Bombyx mori: one gene and its partner. The protein of the gene in region 1 binds, or shares a complex with, the protein of each later gene. Links are inferred from orthologs where the notes say so. Each region holds a gene or a part of one and is shown in the gene's direction. Other genes may lie near its edges.

Region 1 (11,656 bases):
ACATCAAAGGGAAAACAATATTGTTATTTTTATTTAATTCCGAGCATTTTCATATTTATCTACCTTTTAAACCTCCTCTGGACTTCCACAAATAATTCAATACCAAAATTAGCCAAATCGGTCCAGCCGTTCTCGAGTTTTAGCGAGACTAACGAACAGCAATTCATTTTTATAATAGTTTAGGGAAGATCTTCCACCGAGCGGATGATATTGCTCGGTAGACCGACGGTCCGAATGTTGTTGTTCGGAACTTGTATATATGCGCTTTATCTTGAAAATGTCGTAAGCGAGATTCAGGCATCTATCAATTATCTTGCGTTGTATGATGGCTACCCGCCACAATAGATTTAATTTTGGATTTGAGAGATAAATACGACAAACACTACTTCTACTATAAAAAAATATAAATCATATTTAGCTTATTGGATGCTGATTGGCTAGGTAGTCCAGCATATGTTTATTTATAATTGTAAATGTATGTCTAGTAGATTGGTCGTATAGTAAGCCCACTCGAGCAGGTTTCAGCACTTTCAGTACTTAACTTATGAATAAGCTTTCAAGTAAAATTTGGACAAACACGCTATTCATTGATAATCAACGATTCTATTGTATTATTTGCAAGTGGTGGAGCGTATTGTAAGCTGGCACTGATAGGTACAACCATTCTGCATGCTTTTGCCGTGAACCCGTTATGCATGAGCGTGAAGTATGCTACTATAGAATACAATTGAGCCTCCAAATTCATATCTCCAGGTGGTTTGCGCTTTTGATCTTGTAGTGTAGGTATACAGGCTCTAGCCACAACTTAGCATCAAGTATGCTGCAGAACCAAAATCAATCTAGTGAAGTCATTACCTAACTCAACAGTACTCGTTCAGGTAGAATACAACATTAATGAAAATTACAAAATCAAAAACTTTAATGTAAATAATTTATATATTTTTTAAATCCCTTTAGTACCTTATGTACAAAATAAAATATAATTTTCCTACACCAATACCAGTATTCACAAAGTCACTCACTACAGCCTTATATATGATTAAAATTATTACATGGAAATATGTATACTGTAAGACAGCAAAAATATTTTTTACACATTTAATTTTGCTTGCAAAATTGAGAATGAAAAAACTTTATATACTTCAACAATTAAAAACTGATTCTCATCCACTGTATGCATCATGTATTCCTCAACAAAAATAATTTCTATTAATAACTTTGAATAAATCCCCATACATATATTATTTTGTACTTTTTATTTTTCATTCAAAATTATTATCACTATTTGAGAAAGTAGTCAGAATACAACTTTTAAACCTTTATTATATTTGAATTATGGCAAATTTGGAAATAGTTAAGTGTACTGCAATAAAAAAGTTGTGTATCACTGATCAAAGAATTCGCCAAATGGATGTCAGAGTATCTACTCATGGTAAACACTCAGTGCATTAAAATTATTATTATTATGTAACTAATTTATTCGTGAATGATGATGAATCATATATATGATATTGTATTTTATAGCATTTCTCATGTTCACTGAAACATCGTGACAAGACTTGATTTTGTTCATTCAAAAATTTAACAAACAATACAGTTAAATCTGTAATTTGTCACTTATTTTATGCCATTATGATGGTACCAATTTAGATATAGGTTGAACTAGAGTTATCAAAGCAGCAATGGAAGAGATAGCACCTAAAGTGCCAATCGCACTTGGACTCAATTTTATAAACCCAAGAGCTGTTAAGGGTATGAACAAGTCACATGCATTCTTCAATGTATCAACAAATATATCTCTATGACAAAGTAATAACACATGAATGTGTTTCAAAGTAGACATTAGATCAAATTTATGTACTGATAGATTTAATAAATCAGAAGGCCTTAGAAATTTTGAATTGTGTAGTTGTAACAAATGGAGTATTTCATAAAAGTCTCGTGCTAAATTTGCAATAATAGACAGTAACCAGAATTTATTTGCAGTTTGATTCCAAGTGTCTGAGTCTGTTTTTAGAAATCCACTTTTGGCCAACCATACTATGTGGTCTGCATACAAAAATAAACTATGTGATAACTTGCTAACTGTTATTGTTAATCTTAAAAATGGATCTTCTATGCTCATGCTGTCTAAAGCAATGTAGCAAACGTCTATGCATCTGCCCAACCTCAGAACTGAAAAGTTATTATATCCACATTTTAACATTTAATAATAATAATAAAAGCATTTATTGCCTTTCACACAGATTTAAGACTAATAAAAGTAGATAAATAAAAGAAAAGAAAAAGACAAAAGGAGGTGGTTCAGCTAATGCTGTTCAAAATGAATGCATCAAACAGTGCTGATTTCAGTCACCCCATTTCCCTTTGGTTTAATAAATTTTCATATTTTTTTTTAATAACTTTAAGGTAAGTGACACAAGGGTGAACTGATGGTGATTAGACACCATCACTCATGAACATCAGCAATGCCAGGGTCACAGCCAAGTGGATGCCTACAGTGATGTTTTTCAAACTAAATTTGAAGAAGAGCATGTCCTTAAACATCATATAGGAAAGTTTATTCCAGATCGATTTGACCTAATAAAATATATTTTTCTAGAAAGCGGGCACACAGTTGTTCCGAGAAGTAGAAATGAGTTTGGTAGGGGTATGATGGTATCATGGAGATCACCGGATCAACTCAAAACAATTTCTCAAATTTAAAGTACCCAAATTGTTCTTTAAGGTTCCAAGAATTGTGTAATATTGTTTACCGGTCAATAGTATTTTGTATTATGCTCTAATAAATAAAATAATAACATCCCAGTGTTCGTTTGTAGTTGGATTGTAAGTCTTACGAATGGTACAAATAGTATTTACTTACTCTTTCTAAATGAACTAAATGCATTTTCCAAATTTTTTATTCTATCTATGGAGTATTTATTAGCATTCCTGGTCTCCAATTGATGCCATACAAGCTTGCTAATATATTGAATAAATCTAGACAAGACAAATAAATCTATTATTAGTAGAGTAGAGATTAATAAAAGCCAGTTTGTATAAATAAACCTCTTCTGTCTATGAAGTTTACCTTGCCAATTTGTCTCTTCCAATGGATTGATTATTTACTTTTATAATTATATCCATTGCGATTTCGTCATGGACTTTGTGGAGTAGGGTCAAATCAAGTGAAACGCAAATAAAATGTAAACGCTACGCCAAGAGCGTTCTTAGTACATACTTGTAGTAACTTGCTCGTATGTTAATGTGGATCGTTTTTTGGAAACTGTAACATAGAGTTGCGTTTTCATTACTTAATATAAATGGCATATGCCTTTAAGATTACTTAAGTCTTACAACTTACTTACAGTCTTACTTACTTAGCAAAAAAATAGAATGTTTATCTACATACACTGGTAGCTTTTTTAAGGGATTTTATGACCCGGTAACTAAGACTTTTAGGTCGTTTCTTATTTTAATTTAATAAATTCTTATTTTTATGAAAAATGATAAAATGGAGTGAAATGAAATGAAACGAAGAGGATTAATTTGAGACATTAATCAACTGGGATGAAATTAAATGAAATGAGATGAGATGATAAGAGATGAATTACAATCTCAGTAAAATGATGGTCATTTAGTGAGATTTTTTCAGAGGACTTTTTGGAGGATCCCGACAAGTTACGTCCAGCGGCTTTGTTCCACTTTCCCACATTTGTGCACTTTCACAGATATTAAACAGTTAATAAACCACCGTTATTACACATTTAAACCTGCAGAAACACTAAATAGACAAAATAAAACTATTCACACAACTTCACTCCTCGCGTTCCCGCCAAAAAGTACCGGTAAAATGGGGCGATTAGGGATTGAAAGGCGAATCGGGAAAAAACCGGGAAAATCTTTCGACGCTCAATATAAGTTTTATATTCGTTGCAAAATCTTCCATTTTTTTGTAGTTTAATAGTAGAATGTTGAAAGTTCACAAAACAACTCTGAATATGCATGATAATAGCTGCTAACTTATAAAAAATCGCGTTTCAAATTAACTTCCTGTGGTGGTAATTATTTTAGTGCTAGAAACTTTGCTCTCTTTTATTTATTTGATAATAATAGAAGACGACTATGATTTATAAACGTTATTTAGTGTTTGAACCAGCATATATATTAAAGGTAAGTCTCAGTTGTTATTGGTTTTAATGTATTTGATTAAATAAAAATACATGTAAAAATCTGTTGTTTTTGGGGATATTGGGGACGTCTTAGGTACAAATAACAACGAAAAAGAGGTCAATTGGGATGAGAATACGTGAAATGGAAACGACCTAAGTATAAATAGGTACAGATTTGTAGGGTTGTCTATGTAGTTATAACAATATTTTTTAAATTTGTTGGTAAAAATCTGGTTTATCGAAGCGAAATTGGGAATAAATCTTTAGTTGAAATAGATAAGCAATTTAATATAAGTAAGTCGATTTTGCAGAGACATGTAACAAGATCAATGAAATCTCAAGGTGGACAAAAATGTCTAAGTAATACATAATAAAATATTTAATATTTGTTCAGAGTGGGGGTATTCATCTGATTAATCCATGGAATAACCGACACACCTAATCTCTTAACCCAGATAGAAATATCAGCACTGTCGATTGCACCTATAATTGAGGTGATGTCTGCCATGTACTTTTGTCAGTTTTTCAATTTTTTTTATTGATCACTTTGTTGGTGCAACTAAATAAATAAATAAATTAAAACTATATATAAAAATAAAAGTAGTGCCAACCCTAGCAAATTTCTCATTTCGTCCCAATTAACCGCAATTTTCGGGTAAATAGGGATTAGACCTATTTTTGCATTTTTTGCTTAAACTGGAATGCTAGTTGCATAATTTTAAATTAGACAACAAAGATGCCCCCAAGACTCAATCATTTTGATCCTGATATAGCATTATATACATCAACAACTACCATAAAATTGCTCATAAAGTTGGAATTTGTCCCTAATCGCCCCATTTTACGGTACTACACTGGTAGCATTTTTTTAAAGTGATTTTATGATCTGGTAACTAAGACTTTTTGGTCATGTCTTTTTTTAATTTTAATGACAGCTTTTTTAATGAAAAATGATATTATGAAATGAAATGAAGTTGATTATTATTATACATGGCATGAAATGAAAACGAAATGAAATGAAATGAGATAAGATGATATGGAATGAAGTATAATCTCAGTAAAATAGGGGTCATTTGCTGAGACTTTTTCAGTGAACTTTTTGGAAGATCCCGAGAAGTTACGTTCAGTGGCTTTGTTTCATTTTCCCATTTGTGCACTTTCACAGATACTAAATAGTTAATAAACCACGTTATTACACATTCAAACCTAAGAAACACTATTAAATAAAACAAAGCACACAACTTCACTTCTCGCGTTCCCGCCAAAAAGTCCAGATCATAGGTAGCTTTACTTCTCTTGGGATACAGATCAGTAATTTTCTCTATTAAGTATTCAGTTTAGCAGTCCATATTACAACAATTAGTTAATTAAATCATAGCAATTTCGACAGTAGCATGGATGTGACTTGTTATGTGGGGGTTGTCCAAAGAATTGGATGGTCTAGACCATGCTGATGACTAATGTTTTTTTAATCATGAAGTTGTCTGCATGCAATCCAAACTGGACGATATATAGTTGGAAGCGCCAAAGTTGGTTTTAAGATCAACTCGATGAAGACCCAAAAAACACTTATCGGACAAAATCCGCTACCCGTAAAGCTGGTTACAGAACCGAAACAGCGTACCTATCGTACATAATACAACTCAGAAGAAACGGCAAAATAATTTGGGGAAATATGTACAAGAAATTCAGAAATCACATTTGGCAACCCTCAGCCAAACTGCCATTTTGTGAGATTCCCATGTAATGGTCGATATTCTTGATGCTTATCAGCGCTTCTAATTTCAAATTTACATTAAATAAAGTTGAAGTGAACGTGATTATTTTAAAATAATTGTCTACTTAATAATACGAATTAGTTCGTCCAAGATTGAGGTTTTCAGTGATCTGCTGAGTGATTAGTGTTTGTAATTCGTTTGGGGTAAGAATAGTGCATCAGTGGGTTACTTTATTGTATCGACCAAAACTAATTTACAGTGACGTGTAATATTGTGATGTGTATTTCAGATAGTAGTTCGTCGAAGTGAGCTTTCATGATTGGATTACCGCGTAGCGATAGAGATAGAGATCGAATTACGGTGAAAATTCGCAATATGAAGCGAAGTTCGTCGCGTGATAGTATGCCGCGATCAAAACGGACACGCAGCAGTATTGGTAGGTATGACGATAGCTCTGACGAGCGTGGAAGCCCGGAACGAGTACGACGTCGAGTACGCTCCCCTAGCCCGCGCGGTCGATATGTGTCACCTCATCGCGATGATTACGTGCGTTCTCGTGATGCTCGAGATGAATCTGTCCGCAGCTACTACAAAGTACTATGTGTTAGTGCTTTACACCCTAAAGCGTCGGATGAGATTGTCAAGGATACTTTGTATAGAGAATATAAGAAGTATGGTGACTTTAGTATAAAAATATCCCATGAGTTGGATGAGAGAGTAGCCTACATCTGCTTCCGAAGTGCAGAGGATGCGAGAGACGCTAAACATGCCAAGCCTAGGATAATACTGTATGATAAAGTTGCTATTGTTGATCCTGTTTATGAACCTGTACGTTCTGAGTACAGACCGAGGCCTCGTAGTATAACTCCTCCTGACTATGATCGCCCTTATTCATACGCTTGGTCTCCTGTACCAGAGAGACGTCGTCCCCCTCCTGATGAGAGAGCCTATGGTATCCCTCCTACAGTGCCACCTCACCATAGAGATTTCCGCCCTCCTATGCATGAGTATCCCATGGCAGGTCCTCATGGGCCTCCAATGCATCACAGACCACCTATGCATCACCCTCCACATCCCCATTATATGCCACGTCCATACATGCCCCGGCCTCACCATCCTCCATTTGAGAAAATTGAGAACAAAAAAGATAAATTTCCAAATTACCTACACCATGTTCAACCTGAAGATGATCCATTAGCTACAAGAACTCTTTTCGCTGGTAATTTAGAAATAAACATTTCTGATGAAGAGTTACGCCGAATTTTTGGACGCTATGGTATAGTAGAGGACATTGACATTAAAAGACCTCCTCCAGGTACTGGAAATGCTTTTGCATTTGTTCGTTATCAAACTTTGGACATGGCACACAGAGCCAAAGTTGAATTATCAGGCCAATACATTGGCAAATTTCAATGTAAAATAGGTTATGGCAAAGCTACACCCACAACACGTGTCTGGGTGGGTGGCCTGGGACCATGGACTTCAGTAGCACAGTTAGAGAGAGAATTTGATAGGTTTGGTGCCATTAAAAAGATTGAATATGTGAAGGGTGAACCTCATGCCTATATTTTATATGACTCTATTGATGCAGCCCAAGCTGCTGTCAAAGAAATGCGGGGCTTTCCTTTAGGGGGACCGGAGCGACGTTTGCGTATTGATTTCGCAGACGTTGGAACAGGTGGACCCTATAGACCTAAACCTTACAGTGCACCTGTTGGTGAAGATGGTAGGCCTGTTGAAGGATATGAGGGATATGAAGGTAGTTCTTGGGAGGATGGTTATAGCTATGGTACTTATAGGGGTAGAGGTGGGCATCGTGGCCGTGGACGTGGCTCCTACAGAGGTGTCTATCATGGTACAGGAGATTATCGTGACGAAGAATGGAGACGTGCTCCATTAGATTCAGAATATGAGAGTCGCTTGCGTCGTTCTGGATCAAGGGAGCCTGGAGTCGATAGGTCACGCTCACGATCTCGTCGTAGATCACCTGATAGTGACTCTGATGGATCAATGCGTAGAAGTAGTGGGATGCTATCTTCGTCACGAACAATGGCAGAATTAGTTCGTAAAGCAACTACAATTTGGCATGGAGCACTGATTCTCAAAAATTCATTGTTTCCTACTAAGTTGCATTTAACAGACGGTGACTCTGAAATTATTGATAGTCTCATGAAAGATGAAGATGGTAGAAAACAGCTCAGAATCACACAAAGATTACGTTTGGATCAACCTAAGTTAGATGATGTTCAAAAACGTATTGCCACATCTAGCTCTCATGCCATTTTTGTGGGTGTGTCTGGTTCTACTGCTGTAGTCACCAATGAAGATGTTTCGATACAAACACGACCAATGAGGAATTTGGTATCATATCTTAAACAAAAAGAAGCAGCAGGTGTGATATCACTTTTGAACAAAGAGACTGAAGCTACTGGAGTTCTTTATTCTTTCCCTCCATGTGAATTTTCAACTGACCTTCTCAAAAGAACGTGTCACAATTTAACTGAAGAGAGTTTTAAGGAAGATCACCTAGTTATAGTAGTAGTACGAGGTGGCACTGCTTAATTATTCAAACACTGCTTTAGTATATTGTATTGTTATTTGTAGGTATATACTCTTAATTTAAGTTTTTTGTTCTACACTTTTTACTTTATATTCTTGTGATGTGTGTGATGTGAGGTGCATAAGATGTGCAAGTTTAAATATTTGTGCAGTGCTGTGTTCTCACAGTGATCAGAATTAACTTTGATGAAAATGTACAGTATAGAAGCTAGTTCAGCTAGATATCCGACTAAAAGAAGTTTATCTTACTTTTTTAAAGTTAAGTGTATAATATTCAGTGTATGATTTAGGTGATGTGTAGTGTGTGAACAAAACAAATAGATTATTTTAATTTTGAAAGTTGTTTTTTTAAACCTTGTGATTAAGTGACATATCCAGTGCAGTTGATCCATTAGTGGTTTTGTGATGTTAAGGTGTTCCAAAAAAAAAAGTATTGTGAATTTATGTTTTGGTATGTCCATTAATTTGCAAAAAAATGATTATAAAAGGATGTACAGTGGAACAACAAGTCAGTGGTGTGTTGTGGTTTTAACAGTAAAATTACCAAATTTAGAGTCAATTGAAGACAAATTTTCTACAATTTACAAATATGGTGATATAAATGTTGACTCAGTATTGTTTGTGATTTGACGTGTTTCATATTATAATATAAAACTGAAACTGGGTAAGTCTGTAGATATATTTCACACAACACAGTAGGCACTGTATTGGTAATTTGTGTGTACTTTAAAAATAGTTCTTTACAATTCTGAACTTTATAGAATTTTTTTAATGCTTACAGTTGTATGGTACATAAAAAATAAAAAATCCCATGCACTAAATGAGCTAAGGTATAATGTAATATAAATGTGATTCATTAATACGAAAAAAAAGGAAAATTACCTAAATTACTATTATCATTAATATTATAATATCATTATCATTATAATTACTATTGCATTACCTAAATTAAAGATGGAAATTGAGATCAAAAATGTAAAGAAACAATTCAACCTTTTCTTAAAGAGTACAAATAAAGTTAAAATCTTGATTCAAATTCAACAACAGTTGTCCATGAATTTTTGTGTTTCTTTACATTTGAATATTATTGAACATAAAACATGGGTCTATCTAGAAAATTCTAGATTCGAACTCTGACGAGGTTAATGGGCACAATCATAACTAACTTAATACGAAAGTGTACGATAATTTCCATCAGTGATAGCGACACTGGGGTGGTCCAGTCGAAGTTGGTTTCTATCCATTGATTTTTAATGTTGAGTTTTTGAGTTGAGTAATTGAGTTTCATAAAAAAATCACGATTTATATTTTTAACAATTTTAAAACATTTCTTACATAAACATAGCTTTAAAGCCAAAATTACGAATTTTAAGTTTTATGTTTTTGATTTAATAATGTATAGTTTTATGAAAATTTTGTACTTTTCGACTTAACTTCACAAATTATTTTATCATTTTGAACCGAAAACTATTTTGTTTACTAAGATCATATGACCTTTGGGATTGGATGGGGTCACAGATGAAAATGACATTAAATAATTCTGTTTTTCCAACTGTAAAGGCAAAGGCATCATACTATACGGTCTAATCTTTTGTGTATTCTTTTTTATGAAAAATGATACAGAGCGAAATGAAATGAATTTGATTAATTTGAAACAATCAATTGACATGAAATGAAATTAAATGGGATTAGATGTAATGAGATATAAAATCTCAGTAAAATGGTCAATATTTATATATTTACTGTATATATTTACTGAGACTTTTTCAGAGGACTTTTTGGAAGATCCCGAGAAGCTACGTCAAGCGGCTTGTTTTCATTCTTCCACATTTGTGCACTTTCACGAATACTAAACATTTCATAAACCACCTCTATTTCATATTTAAACTTAAAGAAACACTAAATAGACAAAATAAAACAATTCACACAACTTCGCGTTCCCCTTCTCGGATTACATAAAATAATTTACTTAATGTAGGTACCCATTTCTTTTGTAGCTAAGCGAAAGTTTTAATAAAAAGTTGCAAGCTGCAGTGATCTGATAATTTGTCTTTTTTAAATATGCACTTTCAAACTTAACCAATTTACTTTGAATGTGTTAGTAAGCTTATTACTTAATTTAAACTTGAAAATGATATTATCTGAGCAAAGATCTATTTGTATGTTAGTCTTACAATTTTGACATATTTTTTTAAGTTTTTTTTTCGAAGCTGTTTCCTAAATATTAGTCAAATGAATCTGGTTTTTGAAACAAGTGACCTTTTGCTCGGATCAAAATGGGAACTTACTGGTATCTACTCGTACGGTACCTAAAATCCTTAACCTTACCTTACCTATAATCCAGACATGTCATTGAGGATCAAATGAAAAAAAATCTAAAATTGACTTCACAGTGTAAAATATCGAGACGGATTTTTAAAACTCTAAGTACTTACAACACAGAAGACTTAGAATATTCACATTTTTAGTAAAAGATACCTAAACGTTATTTAATTTAATAGGTAATTAACTATCTTTTATTCTTGCTTTGATGGTTGGTGGTGCGACCCTTTTTTATGGAAATGACACTTAGAACATGTGTCCTGGTGGATGGGGAATTTGCGTTGTTCATGTCTGGGCTCCGGTAATCACTGAACATCTAGTGAGCTCGTTCACTCGTCTAAGCAATAAACAAACAATGAAACTACGACTGTTTTAGTCTGTTACGTTTTCACGACCAAACCACCGAATTTTTATTAAATTCAATAATGAAATGGTTTGAACCCTGGGAAATAATAGGATACTTTTCACACTACTGTTGAATATGGATCTCCACCCCATAATAGAAGATAAGAGGATAGAAAGTAATTACACTTTATAACGCAAACTAAAGCTGTAGATGGAAACTAGACAGTCATAAGAGTAACCGTTGTCCTACTTATTTAATGCCATAAATAATATTAAACCAGATAATATGTTAAGAAAAAAATATCTTTCATTTATTTATTTCATAGAAATTTGTCCATTTGGTGTTAAGTGGCTACGGGAGCCCATAGATTGATATCTAGTTTGCTATCAACCTGAATGCTGTTGTTACACCAAGACACGACATCGAAGACTCAATTGTATAGTGTATAGTGAATTAAATCGGAATGTGTAAATTCCCCATGGCCGAAATCGGCAAGAAGGTGGTATTGATAATAGTGTTACGCCGGTAAGAGTAACGTTATCTATCGCCGAATAGTC
Region 2 (10,913 bases), on another chromosome or scaffold:
TACCCGGTGTTATTTTGTGAGTGCGAGTTCATATTAACGTTGTGATCTCGTAACCGAGTAATTTTATCGAAATTAGTACCACGAATGACATTTGTGCGAGTGCGTGTTACAAATTAGTGGGTTTTAACGTTTCGATCGAGTATTTCTTTAGTAGTTCTATTTTTCCAACTAATGAGGCAAAAGTATCATGCCATAAAGCCTAATCTTTTTTATGAAAAATGATAATATGGAGTGAAATGGATTTGATTAATTTGAAGCATTAATCAATTGGCATGGAATGAAATGAAATGAGATCAGATAATATGGGATAAAATATAATCTCTGCAAAATGCTGATTATATACTGAGATTTTTTTCAGTGGACCTTTTCGAAGACTTCGAGAAGCTACGTCCAGCGGTTTTGTTAATTTTTTTAAAATTTTTGCTCTTTCACAGATACTATACAGTTAATAAACCCACGTTACTTTGTTATTGCATAGATGGGTGGACGAGCTCCCGGCCCACCTAATCTTAAGTGGTTACCGGAGCCCATAGACATCTACAACGCAAATGCCGCCTCCCACCTTGAGATATTAGTTCTAAGGTCTCAGTATAGTTACAACGGTTGTCCCACCCTTCAAACCGAAACGCATTACTGCTTCACGGCAAAAATAGGCAGGGTGGTGATACTTACCCGTGCGGACTCACAAGACGTCCTACCACCAGTAATTACGCAAATTAATTTTGCGGGTTTGATTTTTATTACATGATGCTATTCCTTTACAGTGAAAGTCAATCGTAAACATTTGATAAGTACGTATTTCATTAGAAAAATTGATACCCGCCGGCGGGATTAGAACACCGGTGCATTGCAAGATACGAATACACCGGACGCCTTAACCTTTAGGCCAGGACGGTCTCAAAATTACACTTATACACGAAGAAATATTAAATACGCATAAACTAAGAAACATTAAATAGACAAAATAAAACAATTCACACAATTTAGCTCCTCGCGGTCCCTCCAAAATGTCTTTTCATCTTTTTTTCCTAGTTGTTCAATTGTAAATGAATAAATCAAAATCAAATCGAGTTTACGTTCTATACGGTGAAAAATGAAGAATTGTGAGTGTGAGTTGAGATATGCTACTCGCTTCGCAGGGCGTTTATTCACCGAGAGCAGCAATAATATTATTGCTCGTATATTGGTAGCACGTGATGTTTTGGCATTAGACCGTCTAAATGAAATACAACGCATTTTAACAGCATTTTAATGGGAACCAACTACTTTCAAAATTATTCGGGTAATGTCACGTGTTCAATACTATTTTGTACCTTTAGAATTAAAGTGGCTCAACCCAAAATTCTTAGTTTCTGGTAAACTTCAATATTGTAATACAATAATTGTATTTTTTTAGTTTTTCGGTTTAAACACTTTAAGGCATGCCATTTTATTTGAAAAAGACAGAAAGAGTACTTTGTCCTTTTCTAGACTAAAAGAGACTGTTTAATTTTATAAGCTGATAGAATAATATAGAAAAGAATAATAGGATACCCTCTAATCGTCACATTGGAAAAAGGTATGGCTTTATCATTTTATCATTTAAATTATTTTTTATTGCACTTATAAAACTAATTTAATTTACAATATGTAACTACATATATCTATAACTAATCCGTACTTGTCAAATTCCTCATAAATTGTCAATATTCTTAATAAAATTCTTATTAATAATATACAAGTGCAAATGTTGAGCTGCTTGCTAGAAATGATATAATAGTGTTTTGTTTTTTTGTTGTTTCCTTGTAGGCTGCCTGTAATAATCTGAATCTGTGTGAAAGGCAATAAATGATTTTATTATTATCTACTAATGGTAGTCCAGTGGTCGAAATTTGACCATAATTTATTTAAATTTTAAGTTTGAACATTATTATAGTTCTATTGTCACCTTTCTACTATCATCATTTCTATAATAATCATTGCTATATGTCGCCAAGGCTACATTATAGAAAAATAATATTAAAGACAAAAAATCTATTCTCAATTTGACCACAGATTGATAAATCAATAAACAAAAAAAGTATAAATGCATGTGTGTGTGTGTATGTCAAATACATGGTAATGTGTGTAAGGTTTTTTTATTCATTTAGTTTATTTTTTTATTGTTTATGCACAATTAAAAAAAAAAATATTAGCAATCTGCACTACTTCTCTATATTCTCTATAAGTGTGGGAAATTTCATACTTCTTCGTCCGCGCAATTTTCGTAAAAAGGAGTACAACATTTTTGCTTCACGTATTACCTACTTAAAATGTAGGTTCTTAATAATAATACATAAGTGTTTTGAAATATAAAACTAATCTTAAATTTTTTAGTTAAACCACTTCCATTCTAAGGGTGCAATTTCGTAAACAAACTTTGCCGTAATGGCGTAACCTTTAAAATACACGAAAACTGCCCAGCATAAAAATATTTTTTTAGTAACTTTAATAGAAGTATTAGAATTAGAAGTTTATTATAGAATTTATTTAATTGTAATTACATATTTAGACATACTTAACATAATTAATCTTGAAATAGGTAATTATTTCGGATTTTTTTAATTAAGAAATTATGTTTTACATAGGTTTAATCATTTACCCGTTGAACGTTTATAAAATGATTGTATTTACGGTAATAGTGTTGATGATCTTCATTAGGTAGCCTAAATATACTAAAATTATTACGAGCATCCATCCTTATTTATAAATGTGTAAAGAAGCAAAATGATTATTACATTGTTCAAATTTCTATATAATTTATAAATATAAATCTGTACGTATGTACCTGTAAATATGTATATGGCGCGCGCGTGTGTGTGTGTGTGTGTGCGCGTGTGTGTGTGCGCGTGTGTATGTGCGTGTGTGTATATATTTCTATAATAGATAGGTACACAGTGTGCAATTCATTTCGAAATTATTGTTGCCCATCTAATGGTTGTCTGGAAGAGATCACTCTTAGCGATAAGACCAAGAAAGAATGTTTCACAATATTTATTCATTTTGTGTACAATAAAGAATACTCTTTCACTGGTGGTAGGACCTCTTGGGAGTCCACACGGGTAGGTACCACCACCCCGCCTATTTCCGCCGTGAAGCAGTAATGCGTTTCGGTTCGAAGGGTGGGGTAGCCGTTGTAACTATACTGAGACCTTAGAACTTATATCTCGAGGTGGGTGGCGCATTTACGTTGTAGATGTCTATGGGCTCCAGTAACCACTTATCATCAGGTGGGCTGTGAGCTCGTCCATCCATCTAAGCAATAAAAAAAAAACAACTCTATCTCACTCTCTCTCTCTCATCAAACAACTCTTTAAAAAAAAGCAATGATTTAATAAGAATTAAATGAAAAAGCAAAGAATTAATATGTATTTACAGCTAGCTAGACGTCTATAAAATTTTCTAACCGAAAAAATATATGTGTATAAACCATTAGAATAGATAAAACCTTAAAAACAACATTATTATTAAAAACGAAAGAAAAAATCTTGATATTGTATTGGTTTCACGGCAAAAATTTTAGTGACTACTTAACTTGCTTGAAAGTGAAGAAATACTCTCAAAATCCATTAATTTGCAACTCGCACTCGCACATACAATAATCGAGAGGCTCACTTGGGTAAAGCTATTCGATACATGAGACAGCAACATTAACAAACCTTCTCTCTCCCACAAAATGAGATTCATAAGCTTACCACTAGGTGGCACTGATACAACCTCACACAAATTAAACATATCATTAACATCGACTGAGTAATTAAAAAAACTCGCACTAAGCACAGGTACATTACCCATTACCCGAATAATTATAAATATCGTTAGAAAGCTTGGCATTTCAATTAAACGCCTTAAAAAAACCCTTGCGTGCTACCAATATAAAAGAAAAAATTATCGCTTCTCAAGATGAATAAACGTCCTGCAAATCAAGTAACTCGCACTCAGAGCTCCGCACGTTTCACCGTGAAGAGCGTACACTCGATGCGAGTCATTCGATTCGATTTTTGAAACTCGCACTAAGCCTACAGTACTTAAAACAAAAAAAAAAACAATAGGAAATTAAAAAAATCAAAACCATTATTTCAGACTTTTGATCTAAAAGACATGGCTAACAAATTCGATGTAATTCTCGTGGAACCTCCTCTGGGCACTGGATGGAGATGGGAAGATGTCTTAGCTCTTGAGCTCCAGCAGATAGCACAGCCAAGATCTTTTGTATTCCTATGGTGTGGAAGCTCTGAAGGTATATTCTTCAAACCTAGAAAATTATTTGGTTGTGATTTGTATAACTAGTACATACTACACATTGAATACTGTATAAACTATTGTATGTATGTATGTATGTATGTATATATATGTATATTAATATTTGTATCTATGTGTGTATGTATATGTGTATGTATTTGTAACTCAATATAAATTTCATTGCACATATCACTATTTACTCTGCACCACCTTTGGTTGACTGGTAGAGTCAGAATGCCTTAGGCATTAGGTCCGCCAATGTAAATTTTACATGAAGTGTAATAAATAAATAAATAAATACATGCACATGGTGAAAACATAACTCACTTTTAATTTTACTTATTCATTTTACAAAAGTTATCCACATAAACTGTAATGAATTTGAAAGTATAACATTTTTAAAGTTTCTTAAAGATTTCTACAAGATAATTCACTCTTTGGGTGGGACATCAATTATTTCTCTGCCAAACAATGCACCAAACAGTGGTAAGGAGCGGCCAGGCTCTGCCCTTAGTATTACTGATCTCCACAAGTGATGGTGATCATACATCTCCAGTGTGCCGTACGCTTGTATACCTGCAAAGGCAATTAAAATTTGTAACATTATAATTTTTTTTTTATTGCCTTTGTAGGCAGAAGAGCATACGGCTCTGATGGTTATGACCTGATGGGTAGTGGTTACCGTCGCCCATAGACTTCAGCAATGCCAGGGGCAGAGACAAGCCGCTAAATGACTTTACTTTAATCTAAAAGATCAGTAATTCAGCTAATACCAAATCTTAATTCAGGTTTAGATATGGGCAGGGAATGCCTAAAGAAGTGGGGCTTTCGTCGTTGCGAAGACATCTGCTGGATCAAAACGAACATAAAGAATCCGGGGCATTCGAAAAACCTCGAGCACAACGCGGTCTTCCAGCGAACCAAGGAGCATTGTCTGATGGGCATCAAAGGCACTGTCCGGAGGTCGGTCGACGGAGACTTCATACACGCTAACGTGGATATCGACCTCATCATATCTGAAGACCCGGAGTTCGGCAGTACAGAGAAGCCTATTGAGATATTTCACATCATGGAACATTTCTGTTTGGGTCGAAGAAGGTAAATGTTGATCAGTATTACTTTAATATAAAATACTCATACATCAATAAGAGCTTAAATAGCATGTTCTTTGGTTTTCGCGTCACGTCAGCTCCGTCGTCTGCGACCACGAAAACTAAGGCATTTGAAACGTCGCTAATAATATGTATACTAACGACAACAAGTAATTTTAACTATTAATGACTATTAGTGACGTTGGAAAACATTTTGCATCAAATATGTAGCTCACATGTTTGTTTAGCCCACTGAGTATCTCGCCGGATATTCTCAGTGGGTCGCGTTTCCGATCCGGTGGTAGATTCTGCGAAGTACTGCTCTTGCTAGGGCCAGTGTTAGCAACACCCCCGGTTTGAGCCCCGTGAGCTCACCTACCTGCTAGGGTAACCCTGACATTATCAGCTGATTGCTGACGACGTGGCTGAGACGTGATTATAGGGTGATAATTATTAACAAGACACGACAGTTTGCAACCTGTCTGTTGTGCGACGACTCGACACAGACTGTCTAAGCTAAGCCCGCTACACATCTATATGTACACATTCTCAGGGTACACCTGTTCGGCAAGGACTCCACGATCCGTCCGGGCTGGGTGACGATCGGCCACGAGCTCACCAACTCCAACTTCAACGCGGAGCTGTACTCGTCGTACTTCGCCGAGGGCCGCGAGAGCACCGGCTGCACCGACAGGATCGAGGCCCTCAGGCCCAAGAGCCCCCCCAACACCAGCAAGGGCACCCGGGCCAGGGGCAGGGGCGGGTTTAGGGGCAGGGGGAGGGGCAGAGGGGCTATCTAACTAATCTAGATTGTGAATCGATTAAAACCTAGAGGTTTCACTTGTAATCTCGCATGTAAAACTTCCTACTCACACAGACATTAAGTAATAGAATGTTGAGAAAAACAACGGGTTTTAATAATGTTTTATATACAATACGATCACTCCATCAATCGTTTATATAAAATATTGGTTGGTGTTCCGTCCCGTAACAGCTTCTTCTACAATACATATTAGTCGACTATTATCAAAGCCGGCAATCTGACTTTTAGACAATTATTGGTAAATCAGAAAAACGAATTATTGACTTTGTATTCCATTGGCAGTCACAAAACTCTTCGGAACGACATCTTAGATAAATAACAGGTTAACTATTAACCTTTATTTAATGCAGGTTTTGAACCGTATTCTTTGAAGGAGACCATTTTATTCAAATCAATCTGTATTGACATATCAATAACATTTTTTTGTCCAAATGCACAGATTGCCACCTTTGATAATAGACGACTCATATACCTATTTATATAATTATTATTATTTTATTGTGAATAATTTCTTTTTTTTTCTGTGAGTACGTAATACGACACAATTTGATTTATATGCATTATTAAATTCTTATTTATTTTGTACTGGATCTGCGACATATTATTGTGTGGATCGGAATGCATCATTTCCCTGGGAAATGGTTCCTCGACACGACACTAGCGCCGCCACCTGCCTGTCTTTTAGACGTATAATCTGTGCTTTTAGTGCGGCAAAAAACTAAGCTTGCTACGCGAAGCTGCTGTCGCCGCGACGGCATGCATATAAATTTAAAATAGTGTGTAAAGGTTCCCCTTTCACAAAAAAAAGAAGAATTGCTGGAAATTAAGAATGGCTGGACTGATTCTGCAGGCAATACTCATCCTCGACCAAAACCCTCGGACGTGGTTGTGGGACGGTTTACGGTTAGTCGTCAGACCTAGGCCATGTCCTAATCAATTAGTATTTTAAATCACTAAATATAGTTCAATAATTGTAACTTTTTTCATGTCATATGTGTCTGTATTTAATCTCTAATGAGAGTTGTCCGATGAAATATTAGGAATGTTTAATCTGTAATGAGAGTTGTCCGGTGAAATATTGTGTTTATTATTGTGGCAACATCTTACGTATTGTTAGTCTGCCTTATTTATTGATTCGATAAAAATAAATCGCGGTTAATGCTATGTACCGGAGCACTGACGAACAACCTGAAGTTGACATCTTGTTTTTTTTTGTGAATTGATGCGCAAGTGTAATATTGTTATAAGAGCCTCTTCTACAGATATCGGATTAATAGATATCAGTTACTGGTCATGTAGGTATCTAATTCACAAATTTACCAACGATTTCGTTATGAGAAAAAATGTGAGGTTACTTGGATACCATTTCAAGCATGACATTGTAAACATTAAGTTAAATTGGACTCTTGAAAAATTCAGAGGGAAATAAAAAAATTAGAATTTTATAAAACTCATCATACCATGAATATAATAATGATTAATGTAAGATATGAGGAAATTAAAATCTGACAAGTTCGGGTGCTGTAGCTACCACCTTTTTGATACACAATAATATGTAAAATCAAATGTTCTTTAAAAGACATTTATTTCACATTTTTATTGTATCTGACATCCGTTTTATATTTCAAGACTTAGAAATTTATGAAAATATTCATCTAATGTAAACATTTACGTATTATTTTAAATAATAATGAAATAAAAAATAAATAATTTAATAATTGTTTTTTTTCATTATCTGCCTACGACAAACTCTTGATCCTCAAACTAGTAACTTCTTAACCTAGACTCCGTTAAAATTGTAATTAAAAAAGACAGAAGTTATCAGCGTGTAGTATTGCAAAGCGGCTTCCACTGTTTTAGATTAGAATTTAAACTGCTGTTTCGTTCCCGCGTCTTTGGTTTTTTTTAACACTAAACACGCCACAACGTCTCAAATGACTCATTTTGAACTTTTGCATTGAAATGCACGTATCATCATTAATGCTTTTGCACATTTGACTTCTAGACTTTTTCTTACCAATAATAATTAATCTAGTTATTGTTGGGACTTCCGTTTCCTTATTTCTTCCTCGATCTGCTATCCACGCCATCTGTTGACACTATAAAAAGAACTACGACTGTGAAAAACGGCGCGAAGTGTGTGAAAAAAAATCCTAAAAACATGGCGCCGGTGCAAAAACGATAAAATTGTGTTTTTTGTTTATCAATCAGCACATATAAGTCTCGCCAGTGAGAAAATAGAAAATTCCATCAACGAACTACGGAGTAAGTCCTAAAACTTATCCTTTTCTCAGTCCTAAACATAAATTCAAAACAGTTATTAATCTACTTTTTTCGTTTTGTTTTGTTTATTGCTATTTAATTACGTAGTAATACTTGTCGTTTACCGTCGTCGACCCGCTGTGGTAGAAATAGGTAAGTGTTGATATGATTAAGCGTTAAAACAATCCTCCAACCATATCCTATTAAACACTAGAGCTGATGTATTTTTAAAACTGTATAGAATTCACTATGAAAATAAAAGATATACCTATGATATTTTACACAAAGCTTCTACAAAATACCATATTCACAATAATAATGTATTTTTTCAGTACAAAACCGACCGGATAACACAGATTTTTGATAACCTGTAAAATAAATGCGATGTATTTACACCGATAGAAATCAATAAAATGTATTTTTAATAGTTTAACTTTATGTAGGTACACTTAATTTTGTACCTTAGTAGGTATTACGATTTTACAAAACACACTAATAGCTTTCGCTAATTTCATGTTCGTAAAATTTATTCTTGAATAAAAATTGATGTTGGGCAATTTTTTTCAGCCAATTCCATGCAGTCGCCTCTAAACATCTAAAGACACTGTTTTATTCTCTCGATTTATTAGAAAAGAATTTCGGGGGATGGACTCATTCTTGGTATTAGAAAATATATTCTAGATTTTATCAAAAGACCGTAGCTGAAATTAATTGACTGTATATACATAGACTAGTAATTCTGGTAAAAATAATAATTTCAACAATTTTGATTAAAAATTTTAGTAAGCTACATTTCTATTTCTCCTCTATTTCAATTTGCTTACCATCGACTGGATACTTTTAAAAAATTACTGTATATACGACAACTAAGCTTTTGCCCGCGACTTCGTTCGCATGGAATAGTTTTGGAGCCTTTGGGATAACGCAAAATTTTACCCGCGACTTAATTTACCTACGTAAAAGGTGAAAATATTTTTGAATAATAGTTAAGAGGAATTGTAAATAAAACAAACAAATTATATACATCAATATATTTTACATTGTTGTCTTTAAATCAACTCGACTATTCCGAAGTTCCTCAAAATATAAAAAAGACAAAACAAAAAATAAGACATATGAGATCTTTTACTTACTAATAAGAAAAATTTACATTTTATTAATTGCGGAACTAAGAACATCAGAATCTTATTATTCAATCTAAAAACATTATTGCGGAGAGGGCTTTACTGAAGTCGTGCGTTAATTCGTTAAAAATTAAATGCTACCAAAACCATCGATAAAAATGTTCATCGCATCATATTGGCAACATTAACTAGCACGTGCAACATCATATTTCATCAAAACAACACCAACAAAAAAATTATTTAAAAATATCGACAAATAGAGATGTGGCAACGTCAAGACATCAAGCGAACTATCGACTACTAAAGCCCTTTCGCGTATCGGATATTCAATTGACAGCAGTTTTTTTTCTTTTCTTTCAAATCTTCACTGAGCTTATAACATCGCACATTGATAATGTAATCCTTAATATATTACATAATTCACTTTGCTATCATTATACAAGGCATTTTTTTTTTCATACTCGCCGGGGACACAGAGCTTGTCAAAAGATGTGAGGCTGTGAACAGACAGTTAGTTGCGCTAAGTTGACAATGGAGAATGTAAATAACGTACATTATGTAAGTTAATTTACAAATACAGGACTCAATCACGCCTTAATTTCTCATTTCAATACTTGAGGATCTTGAGGCCCTTAAGGTCGATAGTGAAACGCCGCGGCATCTCAGCTATTCGATCATTGCTTCAAGGGGAACTTTTTGTGAATTTCGACGCGATCTTATCGCTTTCTATTTGTAAATCAATCGTTCGAAACGCGAAACAAATACGTAATTTAGTACAAATTCTGCGTCCGAACCGTGCAGTGACATCCTTTAGGTATAATCGTCATAAGATCACATTTTTTTATAAGGCAAACAACAATATTTAAAGCTACAACTTTGATGAGTGGTGCCGCATCACTAGCCGCGACGAGGCGCGCTGGTAGTACCGTTGCTAGGCAACCAAACAACTTTCGTTTTTTTATTAGCAAATGGCAAACGAGGAAGCGGTTTAAAGTCCTTTGCCCATGCCATCAATGTAAGATAGCGTAGCTAACGGCTGTCAGCCGTGAGCACTCAAACACACTTCCGCTATGTATATTTGACTTTCGCAACTAAACATGTACCTACTGGTACTTGATCTATTTCGATGAGGTTCGAGTTATTTGCTTAAAAACATTTGCCTTTATTTCACCTTCAGATTAATTTAATGTATTATATTATAAAGACAGTAATGTTATCTTGTAAGAGTTACAGTTAATTCCATTTTCAAAAACCAGCGATCGCCCCATCGAGGAACCCGAGGATCGAGTGAAAATAGAAAAAAAAAAGAATAAAATTCGCGTGAAAGAAATATAAAAAAAGTTTCGAATTACT

The links. The genes of interacting proteins can lie anywhere in the genome.
Region 2: RNA-binding protein spenito (region 1) and N6-adenosine-methyltransferase non-catalytic subunit share a complex: the UniProt entries of both Drosophila melanogaster proteins name them as parts of the WMM complex. The link is inferred for Bombyx mori from reciprocal best matches to the Drosophila melanogaster genes nito and Mettl14.

Annotation. Positions count from the first base shown.
Region 1 is NC_085125.1:10,169,584-10,181,239, forward strand, and holds the start of RNA-binding protein spenito, read left to right. Parts: upstream 1-6,187; coding exon 6,188-8,434; 3' UTR 8,435-11,656. Other genes in the region: peroxisomal membrane protein 11B, read right to left, coding at 1,631-2,175, 2,867-2,982, 3,074-3,129. UniProt on the Drosophila melanogaster protein: RNA-binding protein that acts as an associated component of the WMM complex, a complex that mediates N6-methyladenosine (m6A) methylation of mRNAs. M6a modification plays a role in the efficiency of mRNA splicing and is required for sex determination.
Region 2 is NC_085109.1:13,097,947-13,108,859, reverse strand, and holds the end of N6-adenosine-methyltransferase non-catalytic subunit, read left to right. Parts: intron 1-4,101; coding exon 4,102-4,258; intron 4,259-5,048; coding exon 5,049-5,358; intron 5,359-5,904; coding exon 5,905-6,151; 3' UTR 6,152-7,892; downstream 7,893-10,913. UniProt on the Drosophila melanogaster protein: Non-catalytic component of the WMM complex, a complex that mediates N6-methyladenosine (m6A) methylation of mRNAs, a modification that plays a role in the efficiency of mRNA splicing and is required for sex determination.